Callithrix jacchus: one gene and its partners. The protein of the gene in region 1 purifies or fractionates together with the protein of each later gene. This does not show direct contact. Links are inferred from orthologs where the notes say so. Each region holds a gene or a part of one and is shown on either strand. Other genes may lie near its edges. The genes, in order: JUN, cyclic AMP-dependent transcription factor ATF-7 and JDP2.

Region 1 (3,744 bases):
GCGTCCCCGGAGGATGAAGAGAGGTGCAACGGAGACTCAGCTGAGCGTTCAGTTTCGGGCAATACAAATTTCTCGGCTTCTATGAGCAGCCAGACGACCCCGCGGACCATCGCTCCTGAACTAGACCAAGACAAAGTTCCGAGCGTTCTCAACTTGGGGGGCCGACTCTCGCGAGACCGCCCCCAAACTTAAGCGCCCTTAGGCTCGCCCCCAACTGGGACTTCACAGAGCCACCTTAAGGGCGGTGCTCCCGCCCCCGGAAGTGCGCGGGGGGGGCCACAGACTTGGATTCTCAGCCTCCTGCCCCGCGCGGTGGCAGACGCCGGCGGATGACTTCGAGCCCCACAAGTGGAGAAACCCCAACCACCCCTCGCCCGCACCCTTGGCCCCCAACAACTGGCCGGGTTCCCTGGCCTCCCGCGTCCCCTTATCCCCTGCATCTCTGCATCCCTGTCCGGAGCCGTGAACTTGAGCGCCCCCCCCCACCCCAGAGACGTTGCGAGCGTCCGCCCGCTCGCGGCAGCCACCGTCACTAGACAGTCAAACCCCAAGACGTCAGCCCACAATGCACCGGGCGGGCCAGCAAAAACGGCCGGGGGAGGAGACCAGGGAAGAGAGGGCCGAGAGGCGTGCGGCAGGGGGAGGGGAGGAGAAAGAAGGGACCGACTGTAGGAGGGCAACGGAGCATTACCTCATCCCGTGAGCCTCCGCGGGCCTAGAGAAGAATCTTCTAGGGTGGAGTCTCCATGGCGACGGGCGGGCCCGCCCCCCTGAGAGCGACGCGAGCCAATGGGAAAGCCTTGGGGTGACATCATGGGCTATTTTTAGGGGTTGACTGGTAGCAGATAAGTGTTGAGCTCGGGCTGGATAAGGGCTCAGAGTTGCACTGAGTGTGGCTGAAGCAGCAAGGCGGGAGTGGAGGTGCGCGGTCTCAGGCAGACAGACAGACACAGCCAGACAGCCAGGACTGCAGTAGAGTCCGAGCTGCAAATCTTTTCTTTTCCATCTTCTCTCCAACTGCCCAGAGCTAGCGCCTGTGGCTCCGGGGCTGGTGTTTCGAGGAGTGCGGGGAGAGCCTGGTCTCCAGCCGCCCCCGGGAGAAGAACCCCGCTGCCCAAGCGCTGCTGACAGCGGCGGAGAGCAGCGGTACCCACGCGCCCGCCGGGGGACGTCGGCGAGCGGCTGCAGCGGCAAAGAACTTTCCCGGCTGGGAGGACCCGGGCCAAGTGGCCCAGAGTCCCGGAGCGAACTTTTGCAAGCCTTTCCTGCGCCTTAGGCTGCTCGACGGCGGTAAAGACCAAAAGGCGTTGGAGAGACGCGCGAGAGAAGGACGTGCGCTCAGCTTCGCTCGCACTGGTTGCTGAACTTGGGCGAGCGCAAGCCGCGGCTGCCGGGCGCCCCCTCCCCCTCGCAGCGGAGGAGGGGACAAGTCGTCGGAGTCCGGGCGGCCGAGACCCGCCGCCGGCTGGCCACTGCGGGGTCCGCACTGATCCGCGCCTCTGGGAGAACCGCCGCTCCTGGAAGTGAGTTCGCCCGCGGGCTCCGAGGAACCGCTGCGACCGAAGATCGCTCAGTGAGTGACCGCGACTTTTCAAAGCCGGGCAGCGCGCGCGAGCCAACAAGTAAGAGTGCGGGAGGCATCTTAATTAACCCTGCGCTCCCAGGAGCGAGTTGGTGAGTAGGGCGCAGCGGGGACGACTGCCAGCAGGCGCGCACGCTCTTAGAGAAACTTTCCCCGCCAAAGGCCCGGGGGGACGCGGGTGTACCCCGCTTGCCAGAGCGCTGTTGCGGCCCCGAAACTTCTGCGCGCAGCCCAAACTAACCTCACGTGAAGTGACGGACTGTTCTATGACTGCAAAGATGGAAACGACCTTCTATGACGATGCCCTCAACGCCTCGTTCCTCCAGTCCGAGAGCGGAGCTTATGGCTACAGTAACCCCAAGATCCTGAAACAGAGTATGACCCTGAACCTGGCCGACCCAGTGGGGAGCCTGAAGCCGCACCTTCGCGCCAAGAACTCGGACCTCCTCACCTCGCCCGACGTGGGGCTGCTCAAGCTGGCGTCTCCCGAGCTGGAGCGCCTCATCATCCAGTCCAGCAATGGGCACATTACCACCACGCCGACCCCCACCCAGTTCTTGTGCCCCAAGAACGTGACAGACGAGCAGGAGGGCTTCGCCGAGGGTTTCGTGCGCGCCCTGGCCGAGCTGCACAGCCAGAACACACATCCCAGCGTCACGTCGGCGGCGCAGCCGGTCAGCGGGGCGGGCATGGTGGCTCCCGCGGTGGCCTCGGTGGCGGGGGGCAGTGGCAGCGGCGGCTTCAGCGCCAGCCTGCACAGCGAGCCGCCGGTCTACGCCAACCTCAGCAACTTCAACCCCGGAGCGCTGAGCAGCGGCGGCGGGGCGCCCTCCTACGGCGCGGCCGGCCTGGCCTTTCCCGCGCAACCCCAGCAGCAGCAGCAGCCGCCGCAGCCGCCCCACCACTTGCCCCAGCAGATGCCGGTGCAGCACCCGCGACTGCAGGCCCTGAAGGAGGAGCCTCAGACAGTGCCCGAGATGCCCGGCGAGACGCCGCCCCTGTCCCCCATCGACATGGAGTCCCAGGAGCGGATCAAGGCAGAGAGGAAGCGCATGAGGAACCGCATCGCTGCCTCCAAGTGCCGAAAAAGGAAGCTGGAGAGAATCGCCCGGCTGGAGGAAAAAGTGAAAACCTTGAAAGCTCAGAACTCGGAGCTGGCGTCCACGGCCAACATGCTCAGGGAACAGGTGGCACAGCTTAAACAGAAAGTCATGAACCACGTTAACAGTGGGTGCCAACTCATGCTAACGCAGCAGTTGCAAACGTTTTGAAGAGAGACTGTCGGGGACTGAGGGGCAACGGAGAAAAAAATAACAGAGACAGACTTGAGAACTTGACAAGTTGCAGCGGAGAGGAAAAAGAAGTGTCCGAGAACTAAAGCCAAGGGTATCCAAGTTGGACTGGGTTGCGTCCTGACGGCGCCCCCAGTGTGCACGAGTGGGAAGGACTTGGCGCGCACTCCCTTGGCGTGGAGCCAGGGAGCGGCCGTCTGCGGGCTGCCCGGCTTTGCGGATGGGCTGTCCCCGCGCGAACGGAACGTTAGACTTTTCGTTAACATTGACCAAGAACTGCATGGACCTAACATTCGATCTCATTCAGTATTAAAGGGGGGAGGGGGAGGGGGTTACAAACTGCAATAGAGACTGTAGATTGCTTCTGTAGTACTCCTTAAGAACACAAAGCGTGGGGGGGAGGGTTGGGGAGGGGCGGCTGGAGGGAGGTTTGTGAGAGCGAGGCTGAGCCTGCAGATGAACTCTTTCTGGCCTGCCTTCGTTAACTGTGTATGTACATATATATTTTTTTTAATTTGATGAAAGCTGATTACTGTCAATAAACAGCTTCATGCCTTTGTAAGTTATTTCTTGTTTGTTTGTTTGGGTGTCCTGCCCAGTGTTGTTTGTAAATAAGAGATTTGGAGCACTCTGAGTTTACCATTTGTAATAAAGTATATAATTTTTTTATGTTTTGTTTCTGAAAATTCCAGAAAGGATATTTAAGAAAATGCAATAAACTATTGAAAAGTACTCCCCTAACCTCTTTTCTGCATCATCTATAGATACTAGCTATCTAAGTGGAGTTGAAAGTTAAGAATGTCAATTAAAATCTCTCTCAGTGCTTCTTACTATCAAGCAGTAAAAACTGTTCTCTATTAGACTTTAGAA
Region 2 (3,744 bases), on another chromosome or scaffold:
AACTGAAAAATGTTGTGAATGTCCAATAGCAATGCTCTTACTGTGAAATTCTAGAACCCAGCTCAGTAGTTAATGCTATAGGGTCAGCAATGAATTGGTCTCAATGTGCTATAGGGGTAACTTCTTGGCCAGGGAGAAAAGCTTCAAATGGTTGCAGAAAACCAAAGGTTAATACAACTACATACTGTGGTTTCTCTTCATATAATAGCTTTACTGGTATTTCAGACATTATTTCACTTCTCAAAAGTAAAAGGAGAAGAGAAGGAACGTAAAAGCAAAATCTATGCAATACTAAAGAGGCTATTAATTGGCTATATTTAGTCCAATTTATTATTAAATGATACACAACTATCAAACAAAGGGCAAAGCCCTGTCCCTTTTCTGTACAGAATTAAGAACTGGTAAGACTACTTAGTAGAGCTGCCAAACTTTTCTTTAGCTTCTTTTCTTACAGACATGTTAACATTTCGCAATAGCCTCCACTTACCTTACATCTTCCATGTTTAAGTACAAATTGTGTTTGATTTCCCCAGCCCTTGGCCTAAGATACTATGGCAGATCTTTAGTTTCTGAGTGTGGACACAAAGCAAAAAAACTGAACGTTTTTCACTTTCCTGAAATAACATGTCTATTTTATTTACACCATTTAAAAACATACTATATAAGCTAACTAAAACGAACTGCAACCACCCATTTGACAACTCTTTGAGAATGACCAGGGAAGCCACGATTAACAAAACAAACTTCATTTTGGTATATTTCTGCTTAGAATGCCCATAAAGACCGATATCTCTACAAGAATTAAATTACTGTACAATTTTTAAACACAGGACTCGTGTGAGCTTCCTAAGAAAACTCTGCACACCCCCTACACACCTGTACTTTAATATGACATGACCCTCAGAGATACTAAAATACCCTCTTTTAAGTAAAAAAAAAACTTTTAAAGTTAGGAAAGTAGCAACGCGGGAATCTGGGTAGGAGGTACCCTGGGTTGTAAACACCCCAGTCAGAGAACATAACAAGCAATTCAGAGCAACATATAAGTCCCTATGGGGCTCCAACTTGGACTGCTTAAGTTCCAAGCCCACATCCCAGTGTTTCAAGAGTTTGGGAAATGGAAGAGAGGGAGAAAGAAAATCAGAGAAGTGATGAAAGGGCTATTTTTCTCCTCAACCCCCATGCCAGCATCTTGGAGGCTGGTCACCAGTCTGGGTGCCATATCCATCAGAAGCCCTAAATCAATATCGCAACCACCTGATACCTAAGCAAAAGACATATGTATACCAGTCATCTCCTTCCCAAACACCTCTCTCATCGCTCTCAAGGCTCATATACTTCCAGAAACCATGCCTTATGGAGACTCAGCTCACCCATGCTGTCCTCTTAAACTCATTCACTTAACTTTCTCCAAATCCATACTTTCTCTCTGATATCACGTCCCTGATGTTCTTTTTATTAATTCAATCGAAATGCGATGACCCTCATTTCCAATAATCTACCCCTATCTATCTTTCCTGTCAAACCCAACGGGTGTTGTGTCACCAGACCAAGATCTTTGTTCTCATCTCCTCATTCCTACCTCCTACCTATTACCCTTTTCCAATTCCAAGCTCCTAATCCCACTCTTTGGGAAGCCCTGGGTTCTTAACCTAGTTTAGTATCCCTCCTCTTTCTACCATTCCACCCCATCCTGTGATCACTCCTTTAGGCTCCACTAGACTACCGTTCCCTCAGGATTCAATTCCCCTCTCCTTGCCACGCCCTGTGCCCCCCGGGGCTACTTACCCCAAGTTCTCCCCACACTTCAAGTCTCTGGCCCCGCCTTCCCCCTCCCCAAGGAAGGAGGCGGGAGTAGAGAGAGAGAAGAGGGCGGTGCTCGGCAAGGAAAAAGCGATCTCTCATTAGCGCTCATTGCCGCCAATCGAGGTTTCCTTCTCCCCCATTGGTCAGCTTTGGCCTATGCCCCACCCTCTTCCTCAGACAGGGCCCGGCCACCGCCTCAGCGCCCCCGTCCAACACACACTGGGAGGGGAGACCCCAGCCTGGAACGCTGGGACTGGCCAGAGTTGAAAGGGAGACTCCCGTCAGATCATGGACTAGCTAATGTTAAAAGTACTTACCGGCTGGTAGCTCCGTTGCCTCCCGCCTGCCCGCACTCTGTCCTACAATCTATCTCCAGCTCCTTCTTTCCCCCCTCGGCAGAGCGGATACTTTCCTCCCGTCCGGTCAGGCGCGCTTAACTCTCGCGAGAAATCATGCGGCCGGGGGGAAGGGCGAGATCCGTGGGGGCTTAGTTGGAAAGCGGCCGAGAGGCGGGGCTCCAGGAAAACAAGGGGCCGGGCTTATTGTGGGCAGGGCTAGGGAGGGAGACTGAGCGAGTGCTGTACACACAGGTCACACGTGTTCGCCTGCAGAGTAGAGCGGGGGAAAAAAAGGAAAAAGGAGAGGATCTTTACAGGTGCCTGTAGTAGTGGTTACTACCATCTTTCAGAGTCATCGCTTCCTTAAAGGCAAAGTGATTTAAAATACCCTTAGCCCTAGAAATGAAGTCCATGTATGGACAAAGCAATCCACCTGTAGAGCAATTATAACACTATCATTTTCCTAGCCCTATTGCCTTGGGTGAAAAGTTTCTCTGAGTCTCTGTACAATGGGACTAGCAATCGCATTTTATTTATTTATTTATTTTTTAATAATTTGAGACGGGCCAGGATGGTTGGCCAGGATGGTCTCGATCTCCTGACCTCGTGATCTGCCCGCCTCGGCCTCCCAAAGTGATGGGATTACAGGCGTGAGCCACCGCGACCGGCCTCATTTTATTCAAATAGTTGAAATGATCAAATGAGATACATGAAACTGCTTGGGTTTTTTTTTAAATCACTATATTATTCAGCAAATATTTTCACAAAACATAGGGCATACTACGTGCAAAGCATTGTTCTAAGCCTAGAGTTAAGGAGTTATCAACCCAGGTAGAATTTATATTTGAATGGGGAAGGGGAGACAGTTAAAAAGCCAATAAACACAAATGTTTTAAATAGTGAAAAGTGCTTCAGGATGGTGAGACAGAAAGTGACTCGGAGTGGGGAAGAAGCTTAATAGTGTTTGAGCGACCTCTTTGAGGAAGTAACACTTAAACGAGGAGTTGAATTATGACAAGATAGCCTTGGGAAGATTTTGGGGGAAATATCAAATGCAAAGTCTGTATTCAAAAATGTATATGTCTTGCTCAAGACAAACCAGGAAAAGAAAAAAAAAACAGGCTGAGTGCAGTGACTCATGCCTGTAATCCCAACAGTGGCAGGATGAGGCAAGAGGACTGCCTGAGCCCAGGAATTTGAGACCAGCCTGGGCAACATGGCGAAACATCAGCTCTACAAAAAATACAAAATTAGCCAGGCATGATGGCCTGTACTTGTAGTACCAGCTATTTTGGGGGCTAAGTGAGAGGAACGCTTGAGCCCAGGAGGTTGAGGTTGCAGTGAGCCCAGATCAGGCCACTGCACTCCAGCCTGGGCAACAGAGTGAGACCTGTCTCAATAAATAAATAAATAAATAAATTTCTTAAAATTTAACAAATTGTAGTTGACTTAAAATATTTTTTTAATTAAAAAAAAGTATATACTAACCAGCTTAGAAAAGAGACTTAAAATATTATCCACGAACTCTCTGTTCTCTCCTTTTGCAGCTTTATGTTACTAAACTTTCTGAACTTTCTGCCTAGCATCTTATCTATCTTCA
Region 3 (3,744 bases), on another chromosome or scaffold:
GGGAGAAACATGATGAGTCAGTTTCACAGTCCCTGGCTTTGATCTTTATGCCGTAGTAAAGGTGTCACTGGCCTTTCTGGGGTGGAGAATGATGTTCTTTCACAGACTATCAAATTACTGCTCATTTTCCAATGAATATTCTCTCAGGGCCTTGCTTTCTTCTTACCTGCCCACACCAGTGTTGCCAGGGAGATTGCTGGTGGCGAAGGTGAAAATGGTCAGGCAATGTCATTGGAACTCGGTCTGTCTCTCTCATTCCATTAGCCCAGTTCTTTTATCCAGAAAGATTTCAGTGCACTGGGGAAATAAGGAGAATAAGATCTCAGGCACTCACTCACACGGAAGAGACATGCATGCTTGAGTTTGCTCATTTGCACCCATCTGTCTCCAGTCTTGTTTCCTTCACTCTGAGCATCTGCACTCCAAGAAGGCATGAACTTTTTCTTTCACTTCCTTTCTTCTATGGGTGATGATCTGACATCACTCTGAGGAGGCCGAAAGTCGCTGAGTATAAAAATCGTCAATCCCATCCGGCTTAGGCAGAAGGTAGGGGGCTCGATGGGTACCCAGGAGCTCTGGAGGTAGGAGATGCCTAGGGAACCTGTTCTACCTGAGGGCTCTGTGTCGCTGCCTTTGTATACTGGAAGGCACCATGGATGTCACTTTTCCTCTGGAGTCTCCTTCACCATTTCCTCTCTAGGAGGATGGAAGGTGGGAGTGGGGTTGGCTATGGAGGTTGTAACGGGGAAGAAGGTCACCTGGGGTCTATCGAGGGCTGAGTCTGCTCACTGCTGTGTCCAGAGGGCATAGGAGAAGCCCTCTGGAGTAGGGCAGAAGGGTCCAACTGTGCCACGGGTCTAACTGTGCCAGCCGCAGAGCAAGCCGCGGTCTCAGGCTGCAGCCCTAGCCGAGGGCAGGCTGGTGCAGCGAGCCGCCTGGGGGCCTAAGGGCGCTGGCGGGGGCCGGTGGGTAGGAGTAGGGGTCCCCAAATGCCTTCATCTCAGCCCATCCTTCTCCACCGAAACATAAAGCAGGTTGACGAGATCGCCTCCTCGCCCGCTCAGTCCTGAAGTGTCCAAAGATGAAATTATGCCGAAATTCTCCCTGTCTCTGAGGGGAAGCGCCGGCACTGAGGAACCGGGTCCACAAAGGCTGTGCGTGAAGGGGCTTCTGACTTGTCCCCCGGCCCCGGCGTCGCTTCTCTCTCCCAGGGCTGCGGCTGCTGCCTGGCGGGCGCAAGTCGGGCGGCGGTGCGCTGGGGGTGCGCTTACATAACCGCTCGCCGCGTCCTGCTTTCTCGCGCGCTCCTGCACCGTGGGGTGGCGGAGCCGGGGGACTGGATGGAACCCGGGCCGCCCCCGCGGGGAGAGGAGCGCGAGCGGCCGCGGGAGGAGGGCGCCCGAGGCGGCAGGGGAGGTTAAGGTCAGTGGGTGTGAAGCGCCGGCTCCACACCCCCTCCCCCCCGGTCCCCTCCTTCCCTTCCTCTCCGTCCCCCTCTGACGTCTGGAGCTGGCAGCTCGGCCGGTTCCGCATTCCCGACCCCTCCCCGCCGCCCAGGGGCCGCTATATAGCCGGGGCTGATGCAACCCGTCCCGCCGCCCGCCACAGCCTGCGGGAGGGACGCTCGGCGGCCGCGACGGGGGGCGCTGGCGGCAGGGCTGGCGCCGCGGCGGCTCCCGGGCCGGGACGGGCCTGGGCACCGGGCGGAGCTCCGCGGCCGGGCGGCAGCGGCGCGGAGCGGGCACGGCGCCTGCAGCCGGGCCCCGGCCCCGGGGGCGCCGCCTCCGCCGGCAGCTTCTGCACGGTGGGTGCGAGGGCGCGCGCTGGGGGCTCCGGGCGGGGCGGGGCGGGGCGCGGGCACCTGGGACAGCCGCCCCCGCGCGGGCGGAGTGCGAGGAGGAGCCCCAGCCCAGCCCCGCCGGGAGGGTCCCGCAGCCCTAGGACCCCGAGCTTTCTCCGCGCGGGGCGCTGCAGCCGGGCCCCTCCCACGAGGCTCCGGGTAGCCGGAGGCTTCCTTTTGGTTCCCGCCCCAGGACGGGAGGCTCTGTCCGCTCCCTGGGCAGCCGGGCGCTCCCTCCTTCTCCCTCCCGCGCTCTCCTCCCCCGTCCGTTTGCAAGGAGGTGCTCTCCTCGGGCGGCGGGGAAGGTGGGGTGAGTGGGGAGAAAACTGCCCGCGGAGATGGGCCGTGCGGGTGGAGATGGAGGGTGAAGGGCCAGGGAGGTGCGGGGTTGGGGTGGGGGTTCGATTGTGGAGGGATGACTAGGACCTGCTGGCAGGGAGGAAGCGCGACCCCCGGAGGACCTGGTCCCGGAGGCGGGTATTGAGAAGGGCTTGGGATTTCCATGCAATGAAGGCAGCTTCTCCCATGGCCATTGCTCTGGGGCTCTGGGCTGGGAGGGGATCTAGGGGTGACTAGGGTCCCCTTTGGGCTCTCCTGTCTTCCACGCCAGGTTATATAAAGAGGCAAGCAGGCTCCTGTAGGTAACCAGCCTCTCCCTTGTCCAGCCCAGCTTAGAAGGCTCTCCTCTGCTCCTCCCCTCAAAGGAGGTTGTCGGGAGGTAGGGGGACAGTGGAGGCTGGGGGGAAGGTGTGGGGGTGGGCTTTCTTCCTGGACCCCTGGACCCTGGGGTGGCAGAGCCAGGCTTTGCCTGGGTCACTGGGAGGAGCAGGGAAGATGGGGAGGTTGGGGAAGATGGGAGGTCCTGGCTCTTTTGCATGGATGGAGAGGCTGGTGGAAGGAGACATCAACCGACCCCTTAGGTCATCTCCAGTTGCAAGATTGCTTGGCCTTTGCCCAGGGTGCTGCCCTCCCTATTGGCATCTAGGGCATGGGGCTATGGCCTGACCACATGTGCTCAGGGCAAATGTGCTCAGGCCTGTATCTCAGAAAGGGCTTGCAGCCTGCTTAGGTGTGTGTATCCAGGCTTAAATTTTGGTGAACTCTCCCCAGGGTCTTAATTTGAGGAGCATCAGGAACTGGGAAGTTTGAACCATGTTTGGGTACCTTTGTGCCCAATTGTCCTTTAAGTCCTTGCTAGGAACTGCATTCACATATCTCCCTTCCCCCAACCTCCCTTCCCTGAGGGTTTTAAAAAAACACTTCCCATTGCTTTTACCTCTCCAGCAAATCTGGCTGCAGCTTGGATGGATGGCTTATCTTCCTTTGCAGGTTTCTAGGGGAGCGTTTAACCAGGTATCAGGTGTGAGTGTGGCTCTGATTTTATATAAACCTGAGGATCGAGGAAGAGAAACAAAATCTATTCTCATGCCTCTGGGTGGTTAAGGTTTTGCCTTGTTGAGAGCAGGGAGGATGGATTTCTCAAAGACTCTTCTGTTCCCTACTACTTTGGCTTTGGTTCAGAGCTGCAGGCAGCTCCAGAATCTTCCTGAAGAGCTGGGTGCTGTGTGATTTGAAGGGCTGCAGGAAATCCTGGGTGTGTAGCCCTCAGGCTTTTCTCCTAGGTTGGCTGCAGCCACCTCCAAGGAGATGTGTTGCAAAGTGATGACAGTGCCCCCCAAGTGTTTGGATAAGGGTCTCCCCACTCACCTACTTCTAACTACTGCCTAACTTCTGCAGCTACTAGGGAATGCTCCTCACGACTCCCTGGGTCTGTTGTCTTCTCCCTACCTGTTTGCAGGGTGTATGGGCATCTTTTCCAACCTGCAGAATCCTTGGCAGAAATAGGCTCTCTGGGCCTCTGGTGTTGCAATGGGCTGTCTCTCTCCAGTGTCTGTTTCCAGCTC

Evidence for each region.
Region 2: the proteins of JUN (region 1) and cyclic AMP-dependent transcription factor ATF-7 purify together in Homo sapiens (affinity purification with mass spectrometry; 3 studies listed by BioGRID and IntAct, with this or other methods). This does not show direct contact. The link is inferred for Callithrix jacchus from reciprocal best matches to the Homo sapiens genes JUN and ATF7.
Region 3: the proteins of JUN (region 1) and JDP2 purify together in Homo sapiens (co-immunoprecipitation; 3 studies listed by BioGRID and IntAct, with this or other methods). This does not show direct contact. The link is inferred for Callithrix jacchus from reciprocal best matches to the Homo sapiens genes JUN and JDP2.

What each region holds. Positions count from the first base shown.
Region 1 is NC_133508.1:95,863,882-95,867,625, reverse strand, and holds the start of JUN (transcription factor Jun), read left to right. Parts: upstream 1-877; 5' UTR 878-1,848; coding exon 1,849-2,853; 3' UTR 2,854-3,744. UniProt on the Homo sapiens protein: Transcription factor that recognizes and binds to the AP-1 consensus motif 5'-TGA[GC]TCA-3'.
Region 2 is NC_133510.1:65,924,881-65,928,624, reverse strand, and holds the start of cyclic AMP-dependent transcription factor ATF-7, read right to left. Parts: upstream 2,228-3,744; 5' UTR 2,124-2,227; intron 1,836-2,123; exon of another isoform or gene 1,789-1,835; intron 1-1,788. UniProt on the Homo sapiens protein: Stress-responsive chromatin regulator that plays a role in various biological processes including innate immunological memory, adipocyte differentiation or telomerase regulation.
Region 3 is NC_133509.1:110,344,051-110,347,794, forward strand, and holds the start of JDP2 (jun dimerization protein 2), read left to right. Parts: upstream 1-1,594; 5' UTR 1,595-1,804; intron 1,805-2,104; exon of another isoform or gene 2,105-2,150; intron 2,151-3,744. UniProt on the Homo sapiens protein: Component of the AP-1 transcription factor that represses transactivation mediated by the Jun family of proteins.